Linked DNA regions of Drosophila melanogaster. The protein of the gene in region 2 interacts with the protein of the main gene of each other region in a pairwise test. Each region holds a gene or a part of one and is shown on either strand. Other genes may lie near its edges. The genes, in order: mxt, CG13124 and Traf-like.

Region 1 (6,856 bases), 5.1 Mb from region 2:
TTGTTTGTTTTGTTTTGGTCGTTTTGAGTTTGCGATTGTTAGATGTGGCCATGGCCAAAAGCATTGAAGCATACTGCAGCTCCGTCTGGGAGCAGGCACTTCACCCCGGGACACTCTATATTGTCAGTTCGAGCCGCTCGATTGATGGCTTTATTCGTCCAGAGTCTCGACCTCATCGGCAGCCACAATGTCTCGCTTGGCGGCCGTCTTAATGCTGGCCAGATACTTATCACCATCGAAGCGCTGGCTCTCATCCTGCAGATCCTGTTGTCGAACAAAGAAATGGTTTAATATCTGATTTCAAAGTAACATTGACACGCAAGCTATCCAGGGATGAACGAACATATATACATACGGAACAGTTTAGTAACTAAGTTAGCCATCTGGAGTGGTGGTTAGGTGGTGATGTTATGATGCTTCGGTGGTAAAACACAAGTTACAATTTATAATTTACAATGTGTGGGGTGTGTGGTGGTGTAAGTTAAACCCAGCCAAGCTTTGTTACGGACTTTGAAAGTCCTGTTTATTAGTTAATATAAATCGTATTGATTACAGATTTGTAAATGTTGGTTTGAATTCGAGAATGTTTGTTTGTTAGCGGTTAAGCGGTTTCAACCGCCTTTCCAGCTTATCCTTAGCGACGACTTAATCTGTTTCACAGCCAAAACACAGATTCTCCCTATAGTTACATTTTAATTTCAATGCATTATATGTATTGTTACCTCTAAGACTAGCGATCGGTTTGGTTTCGATGGTATGTCGTTAATCTAATGACTGGATGATGATAATGATAATGATGTATTGACTTGATTCATTATCAAGTTCTTCACGCTTCACCTTTTCTTAATGATAAGTTATATAAAATTAAAACAGCAAAAATACTGACATGAAAAGAAAAGCCTATCTGTGACTGAGATTCAATAATACGTATTCCGGCTACGTAAAATTAAATTAAATTAAATGAAATTAAATGAAATTACACATAAACGCGGTTATTATTCGATTCTGTTTCGCACAGTGCCAATGAAAACTCATCGTCCTCGCAGTAGCGTTGAAAAATTGCCTTCACTTGTGATGTTTGATAGCTAGACTGGCGATGCTTTCCTTGTGTTGCCACCGATTGACCCACAGTATTAGTTATGATTTGCAATTGCTTGTTATACAGGTTTCGATCGGACACGGCCGATGTTTTGGGAAGGCGACGGTTCTCGCGTTCGGCGAAGATCCCTTTTGATTGCTTGTTAGTGACGGTTAGGGGATTGTTGTCTGCCGACGCATCGACAGCAGCTAGTCCAACGGCGGTGCTGATGATATTTGTGTTCGGGGAGGAGGTTATTGCATTTAAAGCCCACGGATGTGTTATTACTGATGAGTTAGGTGCACTGGCGATGATAGCATCGGGGATGTTCGAAGAGTAAGCCGTACGGCCAAGTGAGCCATCGAACGGCGAAATTACCTTGTTGCGCAGAATCGAGGGCGCTGTCTCCTGCATCTTTTGCCAGTCGGTGGGCAGGGTCCACGAGTGCGGACTCATGGAGTAGTAGAGCAAGTGTTCAATATCGTAAGAAACGCGAGCTGTAATTTAAGTTTAAGCATCAAAGACTTGGTTAAGCATAAAAGGATTGTAATCTTACATGCATTGCTTTTCAAGGAATTGGTGCCTGCCAAATCGTCCAAGTCACCCTTTTCCCGAGCGCCCTTGGTCTCCGGCGTGGACTCCTTGCGCGAAAAGTGGCTGCGACGCGATCTGGCCAGTCCATTCTGATTGCTAGTCGATGATCCTCCATTGCTGGGCTCAGCGAACACCTCGTCGTCGCCTTCACCATTGTTGTTCGCTGACGAGGAAACAACGCAATTCAGTCCAATGCCACTGTCCGTGCCGGGCAGCCAAAATTGCGGCGGCCCGGCTCCGGGAAGCGGAGTCGATGGCGTGGTCACCAGCGAAGTGCCGTCGAAGGCGGCGCCAGCCTCAATGGATGCCAGAAACTCCGAGCTGCTAAAATAGTCATCGAGCACGAGTTTGGCCACCTTGAAATCGCAGGGGATTTAACAAATTTCACAATTGAAAACTTCAACATTACTCACGCGCACTAGTTCGCAGCAGTCGCCGGTGATCTTGATCAGGTGCTGGCCCACGTTGACCGTGAACTTGTATTCACCTACGGAAGCATCGTTTGTGGAATATGAGTGCATTAGCAGCTGTTGATTGGGACGCAAGACTTTACCGGCAGCGGCTGTCGCCTGAGCATGTGCCGCCGCTGCTGCTGCGGCGGCTACTGCGGCGACCTGCTGCTGCTGTTGGTGCTGCAGGTGATGCGTTTGGTGGTGCATCTGCTGCGAGATCTGCTGTGCAGCAGCTGTGGCGGTCATGAAGTTTTGGGCCGAGTTAAAGCTTAGCCGGTTGGCCAAACTGCTTCCGGTTGGCGTTCTTGGTTGCACAATGGCGTCGTCCGAGTTGGACGAGTTAAGCGAGGAGCAGGATCCTCCAACGGCAGGAGCGGGTTCCAGGCGCACCGGCGAGGCGTTCCGACGAATGGTGTCCTCCATAAGTTGTTTGGCATAGCTGTCGTAGAATTAAAACATTTTGACATAAAGGTAAATTAGCTTTAATTTATTTACTTTACTCACTTAATTTTATCCTCAGCTGGACCAGTAATCTGCACCAAACGCTCCTTGGCACCCGGGTTGACTAATGAAAACAAGGCATTCATAATTGTTCTCGAAAAAAGCATTTATATTTATGAAAAATAATTGGGATGCGAAAACATTTAAAAACAAAATGCATATATACAGTATGAAAATATGTGATTTCAAAATGCCTTTAACGATCAATTTTGGCTTAATGTGGTGTCGTTGAATGGACAAAATCTGGAACATGCGTATTTATAATTTCTATTAGTAAATTTTGTAGAAGCCACCGGGCATTAATTGATTTAAATAAGCGTGCCAAATGAAATGGGGGTGCGGTGAGGATCACAATTAAAACCAGCTCTCTGGAGTTACCTCTTTGAAACGATATAATGGTTTCGCTTAGCTCCTCGATCATGTGCACGCGACGCCCCTTGATGCCCATTACTTTTTGGCCACGGGAATGGAGGAATACATTATTGAAAACCATTTCTGTAGATCTGTGTGCTCCAGAACACTCCTCAGCTGATTGAAAAACTTACCTTTGCCGGAGTCAGCATTGCGAATCACGACCTCGTCCTTGCAGTACGTCTTGCCAGGAATCTTGGTCGGTTTGGGGAACTTGCCCGAATTACGAATGACCTCACCGGGCGGCAGCAGCATGTGCTGCTGGTTGGATGTGCCCACGGCCGCAATGGCCGCAGCTTGGGCGGCTGCAGCTGCAGATGCTGCATTGAAGACGGCGGCAGCGGCGGCTGCGGCTCCATCGTTAACGCCACCAACACCGCCGCTGACGCCGAATGTGGGGGAGGTGCTGAAGGCGCCAGGCTGCACGCCGGCATCGTACTGGTATTCCGAAGGCAGCTGCAAAGCAACGATACATATTTGATCGTTTTCCAAAGTGAGATCGATTCTATGTACTCTACTCACCTCCACGTTGGAGATCTGCTGCTTGGACTTGTAGTACGCGATTGTGTCGTCATTGTCCCAGCTCTTGGCGCGCAGCTCGATGAGTTCGAGCAGCTTGAGGCGCGTCGTTATATTCAGCCGTTCGTCCTGCGAAGCGTTGCGGAAAACGACGAAGGCCCGGTCCAGTGTATCCTTGGACACCGCCTCCAGTTGCGGTCCATGCACCCGGAGGTTGTGCAGGAGCAGCGTGATCGATTCCGGCGTGGTGTTGCACGACTGAAGACCGACGGTCACGTTGTCTATCAACTGGATTAGCTCCTCGATCACCAGGTAGCTGTTCTTCAACGACGATCGCGATTGTGTCTTCAACGGGCGTGGCGCCTCAATGTTTTTCACGGCGCGTCCCAGGTGTGTGTGAGCCATTCTCGGGATTCGTTGGATTCGATATCGTCTCGTGAAGAAGTCTTAAGGTTGTCCCGCCTGGTGTCCGGATCTGCTGATTTCAGTCTATATGGTCTGCTAACTTATTCGTTCGTTTAAATGTTGTTGAAGAATTGATCAAAAATGAATCGTAGAAGCTGTTTCCGCACCTCCCCCTGTAAACACAAGAAAGGTTAGTTATCGATCAAATGTATTGTTTACATTAAAACTATTGTACTATTTGGATACATGCTTTCAGCTGCTAGGATGATCAAAGCCGACTATATTGCATTAGAACTTGGGAGTAATGGCCGAGAGCATGGACAACCAAAAGGTTTCTTAGGATATGGAGATTGGCCTCGTTTCCGACCGAATCTCGAATATTGCGACGCAAAGCTCTCGTATATCTTAACGATGTGCACGTTTGATAAGCGGCTTTAGCTGATAACACCGCGATTTATCTATAGTTTAGTGGCCAAATTAACCCATTGGCGCCTTCTGAGCTTCTGGCTTCTGCTCAGTTAATCGGTGCGAAGTTCCAAAAGCAAAATATGTAAATAATTGATGAAAATTGTTGGCATATATCGAATGGGAACGACAAACGGACGACCATTTGTGTTATTTCAGTTCGACTTTCGCTCCATGCGAACAACTCATTTCTTTTTTAAATATCACTTACTGCCGCTGCAGCAACAGCAGCAGCAGCAACAACAACAAGAACAAACAAACATGGGCAACTAAAACACAGCTAACAGAAATATTACAAAAAACTGAAATTGTCCGTGGGAGGGAGAAAGAGAGAGGCGATCGCTCTATTGAATCATATGTCGAGAATAGCAACAACAAGAATGGCCTCTGCCGACGTCGACGATGGCAGCGCAGTTGACGACCGTGTTGGGCGTAGAACAAAAAGGAAGTTAACTTTCAGGAAACAGGGTCTATATATCCATATATTGCATCCGTTTTCGGCCAAAATTCTCTGTGAAATTGAGTAATATTTTAATGGCACTGGCCGCTTTTCGTTAAAATAAGCAAACTACGCGTTTTGCTGGCGACCGACTTTGCACTCTCGTTCTAGTTTCAACACTTTTGATGTTTAGTCTTCGTCGCGCTTATTATTTACTTTAATGGCCGATTGAAACGTCTCTTAAAACGGTGTATTTTGGATCGTAATTTCCAATAAATTACTAGAGCTTACCAAAACCAAAATCTCTGCGACTGCGACTAAAATCGTTTTTTACGGTGGGTGTTGCCACCTGATCGAACACGTTAGATTTTAGAGATGCGCCACAGCTATCCAGACCAGTTCACGTAAAGCGCAGTCAAAAAGCTCACATCAATTTCGCATCACAGATGTGTTCGTATTAAAATTTAAATTTAAATATGAAATAAATGTTACGAAATCAGACACTTATCGCTGATAACCAACAATTCACTATGGTATCTGGACGCTGGGCAATTACTATTCCCCGCCGGTTGTGTCTGCATGGGATCGAAAATGTTAAATATATATTATATTACGTTGGGCATTAATATATCGCTTACTAGTTAACAAATGAAGATTTACTGGTATAGCGGAAAGTTTAGAGAATACATTTGGAAACTACTGTTCTTTTTTAAGAACAACAGGACTCTTAAGAAAATACTTCAGGGGAAACTCCCTAAAATTTTAAGCACGAAAATATCGATAGAAAACATCGGCTGTTCCTTCAATTTGTTGTTATTGAAATTTTTGTTTGCCATCGCTAAGCAAAACTCAAATAAAATTAAGTTGATATATTTATAAAGTGTATTCCCACTCTCTAAGGTGCGAGATGTCTGAAAACGGGGACGTGGAGGCGGCACCAGAGGATTCCAAGGAAGTCGTTCCGGAGTCCGGCAAAGATGAGCCTGAAACTAAGCCGCTGAAAATGTCGTTTGCAGATTGGAAGAAATGCAAGGATGCACTGAAACCGGATACCAAAAGCGGACTACAACGGAGCAACAATAACAATAGTAACAACAACAACAATAACAACAACGGCAACGGACGTAAACATTGGTCTTCGAATAGCAACAATGCCTTTCATGGAGGCGGAGGTCCGCAAAGCTACCAGGACAGGAACTATCCTCCGATGAATCGACCGCCTCCACTTCCTATGCAGCTGATGAACATGGGCTTTGGAGGCAATTTTGGGCCTGGACCCGGACAATGCGGTCCCCCCATGGGGCCAATGGGACCAGGAGGACCTCGCGGTCCCATAAGCAATATGGGTCCCTGTGGTCCCATGAGCAGTATGGGCCCCGGTGGTCCAGTGGGCTTTGGAGGACCACGTGGTTCTGGGCCCCGCCGGAATCACAATCACCGACCTCTGCAGCCGCCTCCGTTCTGGGAGGACATGATGTCGCCACAACATAGACCACCACCAATCCAACCGCCCATGCCCAAGTGCCCCAGCTTGTGGAATCTGGTACCCAAGGAGCAGGGAGCACAAAACAATCGCAGCAATCCAAACCAGAATAACAAGAAATTCAAGGTAAACCATCGCGGCAACAGTGACAAAGATACGAGGCTTATGCCTCCGCCCCCACCGCCAAGCAATGGCAACAATTCGCCGTCAAACGGGGAAGCGCAGCCCTCCAAGAAGCCCAAGCGCTGCGGCACATTTGTCCAGGTCAATGGCCAATGGATACAGAAGCCAGAGGCACCACCGCCGCTCGAGGATGCACCGCCTGGTACGAAGGAGGAGCGCCAGCGCCAGTGGAAGGAGTACCGTATGGCCATGAAGCCCTTTAAAAACCGTGAGTTCCACAACTGGAAGCGAACGGTGCAGCGTTTGGGGAAGCTGCCGCGCGACCAGCTGGACGAGCAGCAACTGGAACGACTACAGAAGGCCGAGGAGTATATAGTTGCGCACAA
Region 2 (7,467 bases):
CACTGGTTGTCACTGTTGACTTTGTTGTTGCCAGTGTTGAAATCTTTGTGGTCGAATTATTGCCATCACCCGGACCAAATGGACAGCCCGGGAGAAAAGGATTTATCCAGCAGTAATCAGGATATTTTTCAGCCGATTCTGTAGTTGATTCGTCCCCAAACTTAATTTCACTGCCCTCCAGCGCTGCATTTGCAGAGTGATAAAGGGCAAGCCAAATAAAACAACTTAGAACGACCTATAGTTAAGGACAATATTGGTATGAGGTAACTACTAATCTTATGTTCGACTTACCATTGCAACTTGTCGAGCAAGACTCTGGATTTTTGAGCCTTAGTTGGTGCTTAAATAGGGAGCAGAATAAATGGCATAGCAGGCCGCTGATAAGGTCGTCCAGGGTCGTAGTTCAACAAAGTTCAACAGGTAAGCGCGAGTCATTATTACAAAACCAAAAAGATAAGTTTTTAAAATTTGTATGCATTTGAAGCATACTGTTTTATTGTCTTTTTGTTTGTGATGACCAATAATGCAGTGCCCCGCATAAAATAAACTTGCACCCTCGTTTGACTAGCTGTGATTTATTACACATAAATATATGGATTCACATAAATGTTGAGCCTTAGATTATAGCACAGTCCAAAGATATCGAATCCAAGAGTTCGATCTTATTTGGTACTGTGCTTGGTGTGTAGTGTGCAAGTCTCGGGTTAGTTTCTCTCTATAGCTGCTGCCGAAATAAATATTGCTTATGTCTAGGTAAGAATACAATAAGATAAATAGAACAGAAGTTTTCCAGGCCCTAAATGCAATGCGACAACAGAATCAATTGCTCATGGTGTCCTGATGCTTGCACAGTGCCCTTATCCCCGCCATGTCCCCAGCTCCAGATCTCGTTCCTAATTGTTAGTGTGCGTGTAGTAAAGAACCGTATTGCCTGGTAGCTGCCAGTGGGAGGCCTTCAGCTCGATGAGTTGGAGAAGAGTGCGCCGAATGGAGGCCGCAGATTCGCCGGCATTCAAAAAGGCATCGCGAACCAGACTCATGAGTAACTCCAGTTGCTGGGGCAACTGCTGCTCCATGTCCTGGCCAATACAGGTCAAAACATAAAACAAGCACTCAATCTGAAAGTTATGAATAGTAATCACATGTATTATTCCAACCACTTGATCAATCAAAAACGTACCTCTGAAAGTGATCTAATGGGTGGACGCACGCAATCCCCGCAACATTTGGAGAGCAGACTAAGCAGTACCAGTGGCGGAGGAGTGCCCTCGTGGTGGGTGCGTAGCTGGAGCTGCCGACGTTTCAGCTGACAAAACATTTCCGTAAGGAAGGCCATAAAGGCAGTGAATCGGACACGTGATGGCGACTTCATGCCCTGGATGGCAAACAACAGCTGCATGCGGGGTAAAAGATTTTTAAATATGAAATGATCATGGAAATTTATGCTGAATTGCCTACCTTCTCACGCTCCTGGTACCACTGACGGCATGTGTTGAGGAGCGCCTCGAGAAACGTTTCCTTCTGCTCCCGGGCAATGATGTTCAGACACAGTCGTGATATTGGCAGAGCAAAACGGCGACTCTCCACCGCGCGTTTGATGAACTGCGATGTCAGTTCCATGAGACAGCGAGAGTTCAGTTTATTGGGATCCTCCAGGGCCGTGTCAATAAGCGCCTGGATCTCTGGCGTGAACTGTCCTATGTCGGCCACCTCGTTGCCCAAACCTAGTCCCAATCCGGCCATTCCACGAGTAAGGGCATCCGCCGACGACAACGACTTGGAGCGTTGCAGTGCATTTCCATTCATGTAAGGATCTACTCCATTAATATTCGCCTGATAAGGCTGAGCATAGTTGTTGTTTAGTTGACCAAACTGATTATGCGAAGCCACTTTGTGACCTCGGGGCTCAGGTGCAAACTTTACACGATTTGTTGTCTGGAATTTAGGTGTTTATTTATTGAAATATTGTTTTTTTTTACCAATATTTTTAAATTAGAGCTCACGTGAAGTATATTTCCACTGGATGGCGAGTTCATTAGCGGCAGCTGACCGCTGAGGGCACCGGTATTGATTGGATACGTCACCAGGATCGACCGGTGGTTGGCCTTCAAGCCCGGCATGTTGCCGAGGGAGTGTCCGGCCTGGCGGCGATTCACGTTTCCGTACGGACCCAAACCCGGTGCAACTCCCACTCCGGGTCCATTGGTGAGCGGAAGTATTAGCGACGAACTGGAAGAATGTTGTAGACTGTAGTTTAGCTCTGCAAGGAGACGGGAAGAGGGGTAAACAATGGAATTAAAAGACTTTGCATTACCGGTTGCCGAGTGCCTCGGCCGGTGCCCCGGAGCTGGTTGTCATTGTGAACTCCTGGGCATTGACGTTCAGCTTGTTGGCGACACCACCGATAGCACCATTCGGACCATCACCACCGACACCACCGGCTGGAGCGGCTAGCTCTCCGCGCACATCTGAGACAGAGTCAAGTGGGGATTATTGTTGGGGAAGGGTCGGTATACCCAAGAGTGTATGTGATGATGTTGGGGGGTAGGACAACATTGTGTGGAGGGACGGAATGTACAGGGTATGAGACAGAGATATGAAAAGAATCAAAAGAAAAATGTGGTCTCAGTAAGTATTAATTGGAACTGATAAGCTGGCAGCAAAGAATAGAGCATCTTAAGCTGGGCTGGCTGAAGTACATATGTGACTATTGACATTTAATATTTACATTTTTAAATATGCTCAATCTCACTTTTTAAGGACTAAGCTGGAAAAAAAACGGAAATAGTCCCTATAAAATATGCCTATAATAAATATCGTTATATGTACATGTATGTTTTTGATTATTCAGTACCTTTCTCGTCCAAATGCATATATCTACACTTGATGTGTTTGTATTTCTAAGCCACCACTAAAATAATACCGATTAAATATCCTCGAAATATAAAAATTCTCTATTATATTGAGTTCTTTAACTTCTTTAGCACCGAGCACCCTGCCAAGCACCCAAGCGAATTAGAGAATTTATAACGAATGACTAAAACAACTCACTGGGAGGCCTGTAGATATCCATGGCTGGTTTGCCCCTCATCTGTCCCGTCTGATTGCCAGGTACGTTGAAAGCCAGACTTCGCCGTTTGTTGATATTCTGAATGAACAAACAATTATATAAATATGGCTGCTAATCGACATCGATATGGTGTACCCACCTGTTGATTTGAGGTGCGCACAAAGCTGCGTTCGCGGGAGATAACGCCGGGCTGAAATTCCGGTGATTTGCGCACCTTCCGCGTATCATTCTGTTGGCCATTCATGCTGGCCTGGGCCAGTAGTTCCACCTTTTCGGCCATCCTGCGATTTTTGCGCGAGTACTGCTTCTGCTCTATTTGGGTAAAACCTAATTGAAGATGAAAGCCTAATCTTTGGTAGATTATCCTCCGGTTAATCGATTCACAACTGGGATTCCGTCGAATAAACGTCTAAATGTGTGGCTTCAGTATTTGAGTAAATTTGTACATATCACAATAGTTGGTTTCCTTTCCTCCTTTATCGAGTTGAGTTCTCTTCTTAATACGATGTTGAGGGATATCTTCCCCTTTTGCAGATTCAGATTGCCGGGTCTGGAATACAATGAAAATTAATTATATACTTCAGCATATCGCATTATATTATTGTCAACATATATCAAGTAAGATACACAAAAACTCTTTAACCCACATGCGAGAGGGAGGCGCAAACTACTTGATCTTGTCGAGCAACCAACCGGCTTTATGGCCGAGCGTAGGAGTTGCATCTGGTTTGGAACCTCTGGCTAGAGCACTTCATCTCCGAACATGACATCAGCCCCCGAGTAATTCTTATTCTGCGGCCCACAAGAAGTCCGAAGTGAGTCTCCGCGAAAGATACATACGAAAGATACATTGTACAGTCAGGCCTCTCTACCATCTATTATCACAAAATGTGGCTTGAATAAATCTTTGACTCTTCTTACTTATATGTACCATCCACTTATATCAATAAAACAATGAACTTGTCAAAATGTGGTAATTAACGAACTTAGAGAATCTTACATAGGTTAACTGCCCTGTGAGAGTGACTACTATCATAGCAATGTGAACTTGCCTCGCTAATTGCTCTACACTTCCCATTCTCAGATTGCCAAACAGAGTGCTCGGAATAAGCTAGGCTGGTATTATGAATCAGCGTCGGATGGACGGATATACTCACCTTTTAGTGCAAAAATATTTCCTTCAAATTGTTTCGTTGTTGCTGCTGCTGTTGCTGCTTGAGCTTTTGTTTATCTCTGTCTATAGTGTATATATAGATGGGTTTGTTTGTGCGTTGTTGCTATTCGTCGATTCGATTGTTGCTTGGTGCCGCAGCTTAGTTGTTCGTATAAAGATATTTATCTACTTCGTAGATACGCTCTTTCGTGTCTCGTTTAATCATGCTTGGCATGCGCCAAGTCAAGCCGTAAACAGTGTCAGAAATAATTAATATTTCGAAGCGTCCCTCCACGCCCAAATAGTCCGCATATGGGGTAATACACTAGATGGTTATGGATTGCGGGCCTCTAGACACAGATACAGATGCAGGCAGATACAGCGGCAAATGCAAAAAAAGGCACAGATACGCATACGCATACGCACTCACACAAACGCACTGTGATCACAATTGATTTTAGTGCCTATTGTTGTTGCTTTTGCTCGGATGACTGGTGGCTGCTGTGCGAGCGAGAGGGCGAGATGAGTGATATGAGCGGGTGGCTCGTTAAGTATACGCACCGTTGGTATCGTCTATTTTTGGTTTGTCGCTTTGTGCTGCTTGTTCTCGGCTCGTTGTCTGCTCGTCGTCAATTATTACCGATTCCGTTTTGGTTTCTTAATTTTTGTTCGCGTTGTTGTGTTCGTTCGTTTTTCTTTTTATTGTGATTTTTCTCTCATTTAATGCAGATCGCTCGCTATTTATGTATATAATATAGTTATTGTTCGGATTACTCTCACACGTACACATACAAGCGGTCACTACACGCATACAGGCGCGGCCAAAATGAGGGGATTATTAATTGTTATTTATATTTTCCTATACTACTCTTCATGTTTAGCCTGCACGCGCTGTTTGTTTTCACCCGACTTGTGCGCCGTATTCTTTGGCAATTGCCAAAAACTGCTCACATGTGCCGCCGCATCTATATTTATAGTATATGACAGCGCTGCGAATGATGACTGTATCGCAGCACTATGTAGATACATCTATAAACCTATATGCAGTTGGCGTTGCTTCCGTTTCCGTTGGTCAAAAACAATAATATCAGCGGGCTGGCAGAAAGACAAAATAAAAAAAAGAACAGACTATTTCAAATTATTGGCCCGATTTATTTAGCGTTTTAGTCGCCGCCGCGGCACAATATGATTTCCGCTCGCAAACAGTTTGTCTATTTTTAAATAGAATTCAAGAAAGTATTCGGGGAGGAAACGTATGTACTTATGCATGAATCACATAATCCCGATTCGTAAGAGCAAAATATAAAGGATCGGGGATGTAATTGGATTTAAACACATTTAACTACGGGACAATGGAACCTTGGAATTTTGGTTTTACTTTAGGTTTCCATGGGTTCGTTGCTGTCGATCGAGACACTATATCTGCGGGGTATATCTATTTATCGATGTACGCCGTATTATGTGAGCATGTATGTATATTCGCACGTATGTATGTATATGGATGTGAGTAACGCTGCCGGCTGCTACACTGGGCGCAGGCTTTAACTTAAAAATTAAATCATCGGCGCGAGCGATCAGTTGAAGACTAAAGACTTGATGAATCGCCGCGCCAGCCGAAAGCTCTTCATTACAGTTGTGCTCTCTGGAAAGCGATTCTCCGCTTCTCTTTGCACCACACAACCAAAAGAATCTCGTGGGAAAATGCGAGAGCGATCCGTTTAGGGTTGTCGAGCGGCTCGAACTATAGAGCAAATATGTAGAAATAAATGAACATGATCGCATTCGTACACAAAATGATCTTTATCCTTATAACAATAGTTTCAATTCGATACATAAACAGAAATTACAGAAATGAAAACTAATCATGATGACAAATCAATAAAACAAGAATATTAACTTGTCTGCCTTGGTTTATCGTGGAAATGTTGCTGTTACTAATGAAGAAAAACTAATGTCGCCTCAACGGTGAAAAATTACTAACTCGATTTATGATCCACTTTTGGCATACCATACACCAAATCTCTCCTTGCATACAAGTTTAAAAAATATACAAATACAATATTGTTAGAATAATTCAAACGATGTTAACAGGATTTGACAGCGGTAGGACGATTAGACCAAGTTGATCAAATGCTCGCGCAGAATAAATACGGAGGTGGGGACAAGGACGAGAACGAGGACAACGAGAATGCCTATTTGGCGGGCGAGGCTATGGAGTTGTTTAGTGAATTGTTTAGCTGCTCCTCCTGATCCTTGTCCAAGCCAAGGGCTGTGGTCAACAGCTTGACCACACATCGCTGCTCGTGCACCTCGCCCTTCTCGTTGGAAGTAATGTCCTTTTCTAGTTTTAGCTTCTCTTCGGCGGCCATCAGGATGCCCTCCTCGATGGTACTCTCGGAAATGAGACGGTAAATGGTCACCGGACGCTGCTGTCCCATGCGATGACACCGATCCTCGGCCTGTTTATCGTTGTACGGGTTGAAGTCGATATCGTGAATGACACAGGTGTCGGCAGCCGTCAGGTTGATGCCAACGCCACCGGCTTTGGTGGAGAGTAGGAACACAAAGATGCTATCGTCCCCATTGAAGTCGGTGATCAAATCCTGGCGGACATTTACGGCGGTCGCCCCGTCCAGGCGACAGAAACCAAACTTTCGTATTCGCAGATACTCCTCCACAATGTCCAGCATCATGGTGAACTGGCTGAAAAGCAACACACGGTGTCCTTCTGCCTTCAGTTTTGGAAGCAACGTATCCAGGTAGAGGAATTTTCCAGAATCGCATATCAAATTATCGGGTATTTTCACGTCGTAAAACTCCTGAAAGATGCACAAATTTAGTCATTGTCATTGGACAACCTCTTTGATAGTCACTTACATGCTTGTTCATCATCTGATAGACCTGAAAGTCTGACATAACGGCTAGCTCTTCAAAGATGTATTGCTCGTTGGTCTTTTTAAAGGAACTGGCATTAGCCAGGCGCTTAGAGAATCCACGTAGATTGGCGTCGGTGAAGTAGTGACGCATCAGCAACGGATGGTTTGCAATGCGGCGCATCTCCATCATGATCGCTATGCCGGCCCTTTCGCTGCTGCTGCACACCTCGCCCTTGTTATTGGAATAATAATCGACCAGCTCGTGATAGTATATTTTCTGTTGACTGCTCATGGGCACTTTTTCCTTTAAATAAAAAACAATTTAATTATTGTATAATATTTATTTTCGCCCGACGTACTTACCACCA
Region 3 (4,805 bases), on a different chromosome or scaffold from region 2:
CCGAATACTTCGCTTCGCGCCTGCACAAGGCGATGGCCGGAATTGGCACCAATGACACCCAGTTGATCCGTGTGATCATCACGCGCAGCGAGGTAAGTACATCTATATATAATATCATTCAACCCTAAAATGTTGCAACGTTTTTCAGATTGATATGACGGACATTAAGGTAGCGTTCGAACGTCTGTACGGCAAGTCCCTCAAGAGCTGGATCAAGGTAAGATATATATATCTATCTATATCTATATTCTATAATCATATAAAATCCTACTTGCAGGGCGATACTTCGGGCCACTACAAGCACGCCCTTTATGCCCTGGTGGGTGAACAGCGCTCCTCTTAAGAATCTCCGCATATACATATATATGTATTATTCAAACCAAATCCGACGTGAAATCAATTATTCGAATATGTATTATCTCTTCTATGTATTCGTTCATTTAAATGCATACAACATACAAGAACACGCCAACGAAGCCAGACAATTATGATCCACAACGTAGACTATAAGTGCACACAAATAATACCTGAACGGGATCAGACATTTGATACCTCTTTCAAAGAAATGAACATGGGAACCGACAGTTGACAAGTGTTGAAGTTGTATTTTATTAAAAGACCTTTGTATTTAAATGCGTTCGTAAAGACAAATAATATGGAAGTTCCTCTCAAAAATCGCTTGTTAATTTGCTCGAAATGAAAAACCAAAAAATGAAAGAGTTGCTTATATCTTGACAAAGTGACCAGGGAAATGTTGCAATAAAAGCTATGCTTTCTAACTACCGACTTCGTCTCGACAGTGCCTCAATGTGACTATTGCCTAATTTGAAAAAAAGCATTTAAAACTGCAATGACATTTAAAACTACAATATACGCATATTGAAACGATGAATCGATTCGTATGCACTTATACACTATATATGTACACATACTCGTGTTTGTAAGCGGGTTTTTAACTTCCAGTTCGCTCTCAATGGAATAAATTATGTTTTATGTATGTGACAATCCGCAATTGGATTTTTTTTTTCTTATCGCTCCTGGTGGGTGGGATAGCGATGCTGCATGGGTTTTATTTTAGAACTCGAACCTCGATGAACATGGAATCGTTGCGAAGATAGTTGCGACTGGTGATTACCTTGTGTGGTATATGGAAGTACTGGTTGCTTTGGATAAAATCATCGCTCTTCTTGCGCACAAAGATGGTCTTCACATAATCCTCGGCATCTGCCACATTCGTGCACTGATCCCGGATGATGATCTCGGCCTGAAGGCGGCATGGCCAGGCCAGAAGGGGATCGTACTCTCCGGATAGAACGTTCAAGCAGGCGATCATGTTCCTGCCCTTCCAGGTGCCCTTGCCATTCAAGTATATATCCAGCTAGTAATGGGGTATACATATATAAATGGCATATCCAACCAAGATCCAACCTCAACTCACCCGTAGAGCATAGCCAAAGGCTTTATTGGAGAACATGGCGCTATGGAGGATGGTGTCGTACTGCTTGGACTCTTCCAGTTTTTTCGAGTAATCCTTGATGCGCCAAATCAAGTGTCCTGTACGACCAGATATTATATATTTAAATTACTATATTGAACCAACAATATGTACCCCTTATATTCTGGACACTGGCAATCCGCTGCTGCATGGCCATTTGGGTCTCCAAATCCGATATATTCTGCATGGTCTGGTGAAGTGCTCGATCCAATTTATCGCAACGTTCCTCCGTTTCGCACACAATGTTCTTCACATTCTTCACCTCATAGTCCAATGTGGCCTGCTTTGACGTCACATAGTCACTGTTGCCCAGCTTTGTTTTGATGTCCTCATTGATCTGCTGCAGAAACTCCTCGATCTGAAAGAACTTCTCCCTGTTGAGCCGCTCGTTCTCAAAGATCAGCTCCTCCAGCTTTAGGATATTGTCGTTTAGCTGATTCTGGTGATAGGTCACGTCCGCCGAGAGCTGATTGACCAGCTTTTGGGCCTCATCCAGCCTGGACTCCACTTGCTCTTTCAAGGACTTCGACGGAGATATGCACATTAAAGATAGATAGTATATATATATTTAAATAAAGTAGCATTAACTAACCTGTGTGATATCACAGCAGTACTGGACATCCAGCTGGTTCTGTTCGATGGCGAATGCCTTCCGATTGGTTTCCTCCTCCATCTGGCGACGCAGATCGTCCATTGCCTTCTCGGTTTCGCGGGTCCAGTCCTCGACGACCTGGTTCTGCTTCCGTATGTTGCCCACATCGGTAATGAGATGCAAACGCTGTCGTATCTCCTCGTTGAGAACGGACCGAATGGTGCCCACGTCCTGTTCAATGACCAGGAGACGCTGATCCGACTGCCTATCCAGGCGATCCATGCTGACACTCATGCGTTGCTGATTGCTCAGATTGTGCTGGTTGCGTGGACACTCCTTCAGATGGGATCGCATACGGATGCGTGGAATGAAGGCCTGACAGCCGTTGGGACACTCCTCCAGCACCTGGCCGCAGTGGATCAGGTGTTCCTGCAGTCGCATCCAAAGAGGAGTAATGTAATAGTAATCAAAGGTGAACTGAAAAGTTGGACGATTATAACCGTGAATGTCTGGGCATCGAACCATTCGTTGCAGAAGAGGCACGACGACTTCTCATACTTGACTATGGTCGTCGATTTGGGCTGATTCTGATTCTCATTCTGATTCTGATACTGATTCTGCTCGGTTAGATCCTTTCTCGACGACGACTTGGTCAGTGACATTATATTGATTAAAGGAAAGCAAATTCGATTGAAACTTTGGATCAGCAAATTCTCTGGCGCTGCGAGCACCGCCCTATGCACACTAAACTCAGCCAAAAATGATTAAGAATTTCCTTGGGCATAGTCATACGCGGCGCACACAGACATGGTTTAGATATAGCTTTGCACATGTGTTAGCATTAGGGCGTCCATGGGAATCTATACGACAACCTCGAACTGATAGCACTGCCATTTGGTGCGATTACCACTATTTCGAAATGCGAGAGCAACCAACGAATCGTATTGACCACTAACTTGGCGAACTACGACCAGGAAAACACAGCCACCGAGAATCCACTAAAATCGTAACCGTCACCAGATCTTCCAGCGACTATATGGCCACATATGTACCTGCAAAATGTTCATATCTCTAGCTCCCCTTGTACAAACATATTCGGAATGCGAGTGGAGATAACATTATCAATGAAAAACGGGCTTCACAATCAAAACTTTGTCCATTGCCTCGGCAATGCAAATGGTAACGACGCCATCAACTAGATAACAATGTGGTGGGCGGCAGTGATCGTGGGCGTGGCAGTGGGTATGGCCGAACCAACAGGTGCCCTACGTACACATATGTGGATCGGGATTGAAGTACATTTACTGACTCGCCGCCCTACTTTATGGTATCAAAAGTGGGGCAACGGCTAAACTGTGATAAAAACGGGCTATATACTTTCGTATATATTTTTAAACAATATCCGATGTAGGAAAAATATTAAATAAATCCTTTATTAATTAGATGTTTGTATCGTGTAGCTGTATTGAAACCCAGCATTTTCGTAAACGAACCATTTTTCCAAGTGTAGTTGCACTTGCTCTCAATAAGTCGCCGAGATTATGATAAAAATGTTATCAGCCTAAAATGTCGTACTTCCCAGTTGATTGCGAGTGTTAGCATACGATTTCAAGGTTCTCCATTTGGGAAGTTGAGATACTTTCCTACCTCTAAGGTGGTGGTCAGAAATCAAATCTATTGTTCAAACGTTTAACAAAAATTTGTTTATCTAACAAAAAAAAAAAAAATTGTATACATGAGGAAATAAATAAATTAGGGGTATAAAAACTATAGCCTAATCGACGATTACAAGTATGTGGACTCAAACTTCTCGCGCATCTTAAGTTTCCGTTGTTTTCCGGGAAAAATGCTGAAACTCTTTATGTTGAGCGCCCTCTGGAGCATTCGGATGGTATAGTCGGGTACCAGGCAGGCCACACAGGTCACTATGATCCACAGCCAGACTGGCAGTGAGGCCAACAGATTGTTGTAGGCCCAGTAGATGTCGGTGTCGTAGTCCCTGCAAATAATACATATACATATTAGTTTAAACCTTAAATGGATACATTCGTAGCCATGAACTCACAGATTGATAACGTTGTAGATAACCGTTGTGACTACAAAGCCCAAAATGGAAATGATAATGGTGAATATATACCAAAAGGACAGATACATTGACTCGAGCCAGAGCTTAAGGTTCACGACCACCACCACCGTCCACATGAGGAGGGTGCCGAAGCAGGAGAAGGCCACCGTCTGTCCGTAGTTCAGGAGAACGTTGTTGTAGTAGAAGAAGCAGAAGGCGAAGTAGAATATGATGACACTGTGGTAGATCGCAAATAGGACCCACATCAGGAAGTACGGCCAGTGGAGCTGCTTGTTGTCCGTGTTCTTCTTGTAAAGCTGTGGCGTTCTGTTCAAGTTGCATTTTTAGTAACATCAACATTATACATATAAACGATTGAACCCACTGTTACCTCATCAACTTCTCCTCGGTGTATGGCTTCTCGGAGATAGCTATGAACAAAATGGGCAGCGAGGTGTATATCACATTGTACAAGGTAAGGAATAGCGAATCGTAGACGGAGGATGAGGAGAACAGCGTGTGAAACTGGAACAGGAACATGATGCCCATAAAGACGATGTTCTTGTAGAAGAAGTACAGCACCAGCAGGGACAGTCGGACACTGTGATAGTGTCCATGGACGAGAAGCAATCTCTTGAGCATGCAAAACTTGG

Evidence for each region.
Region 1: the proteins of CG13124 (region 2) and mxt interact in a two-hybrid assay, tested with the Drosophila melanogaster proteins (2 studies listed by BioGRID).
Region 3: the proteins of CG13124 (region 2) and Traf-like interact in a two-hybrid assay, tested with the Drosophila melanogaster proteins (2 studies listed by BioGRID).

The regions. Positions count from the first base shown.
Region 1 is NT_033779.5:4,842,084-4,848,939, forward strand, and holds mxt (mextli), read right to left. Parts: upstream 5,213-6,856; 5' UTR 5,156-5,212; exon of another isoform or gene 5,081-5,155; intron 4,682-5,080; exon of another isoform or gene 4,633-4,681; intron 4,268-4,632; exon of another isoform or gene 4,196-4,267; intron 4,134-4,195; 5' UTR 3,961-4,133; coding exon 3,559-3,960; intron 3,493-3,558; coding exon 3,171-3,492; intron 3,076-3,170; coding exon 3,004-3,075; intron 2,690-3,003; coding exon 2,629-2,689; intron 2,564-2,628; coding exon 2,086-2,563; intron 2,029-2,085; coding exon 1,635-2,028; intron 1,576-1,634; coding exon 977-1,575; 3' UTR 501-976; downstream 1-500. Other genes in the region: CG11927 (uncharacterized protein), read left to right, coding at 5,772-6,856. UniProt on the Drosophila melanogaster protein: Plays a role in promoting translation.
Region 2 is NT_033779.5:9,902,824-9,910,290, forward strand, and holds CG13124 (uncharacterized protein), read right to left. Parts: upstream 5,811-7,467; 5' UTR 5,602-5,810; exon of another isoform or gene 5,485-5,601; intron 5,033-5,484; 5' UTR 4,785-5,032; intron 4,725-4,784; 5' UTR 4,228-4,724; intron 3,621-4,227; 5' UTR 3,351-3,620; coding exon 3,210-3,350; intron 3,149-3,209; coding exon 3,052-3,148; intron 2,469-3,051; coding exon 2,315-2,468; intron 2,261-2,314; coding exon of another isoform or gene 2,230-2,260; coding exon 2,004-2,229; intron 1,936-2,003; coding exon 1,459-1,935; intron 1,394-1,458; coding exon 1,181-1,393; intron 1,119-1,180; coding exon 894-1,118; 3' UTR 556-893; downstream 1-555. Other genes in the region: Muc30E (mucin 30E), read right to left, coding at 1-235, 292-294; Etl1, read right to left, coding at 6,416-7,042, 7,101-7,403, 7,463-7,467.
Region 3 is NC_004354.4:16,413,368-16,418,172, reverse strand, and holds Traf-like (TNF-receptor-associated factor-like), read right to left. Parts: upstream 3,128-4,805; 5' UTR 2,750-3,127; coding exon 2,588-2,749; coding exon of another isoform or gene 2,517-2,587; coding exon 2,088-2,516; intron 2,019-2,087; coding exon 1,610-2,018; intron 1,555-1,609; coding exon 1,439-1,554; intron 1,379-1,438; coding exon 1,070-1,378; 3' UTR 588-1,069; downstream 1-587. Other genes in the region: AnxB11 (annexin B11), read left to right, coding at 1-92, 149-217, 278-343; CG4301 (uncharacterized protein), read right to left, coding at 3,873-4,086, 4,153-4,479, 4,544-4,805.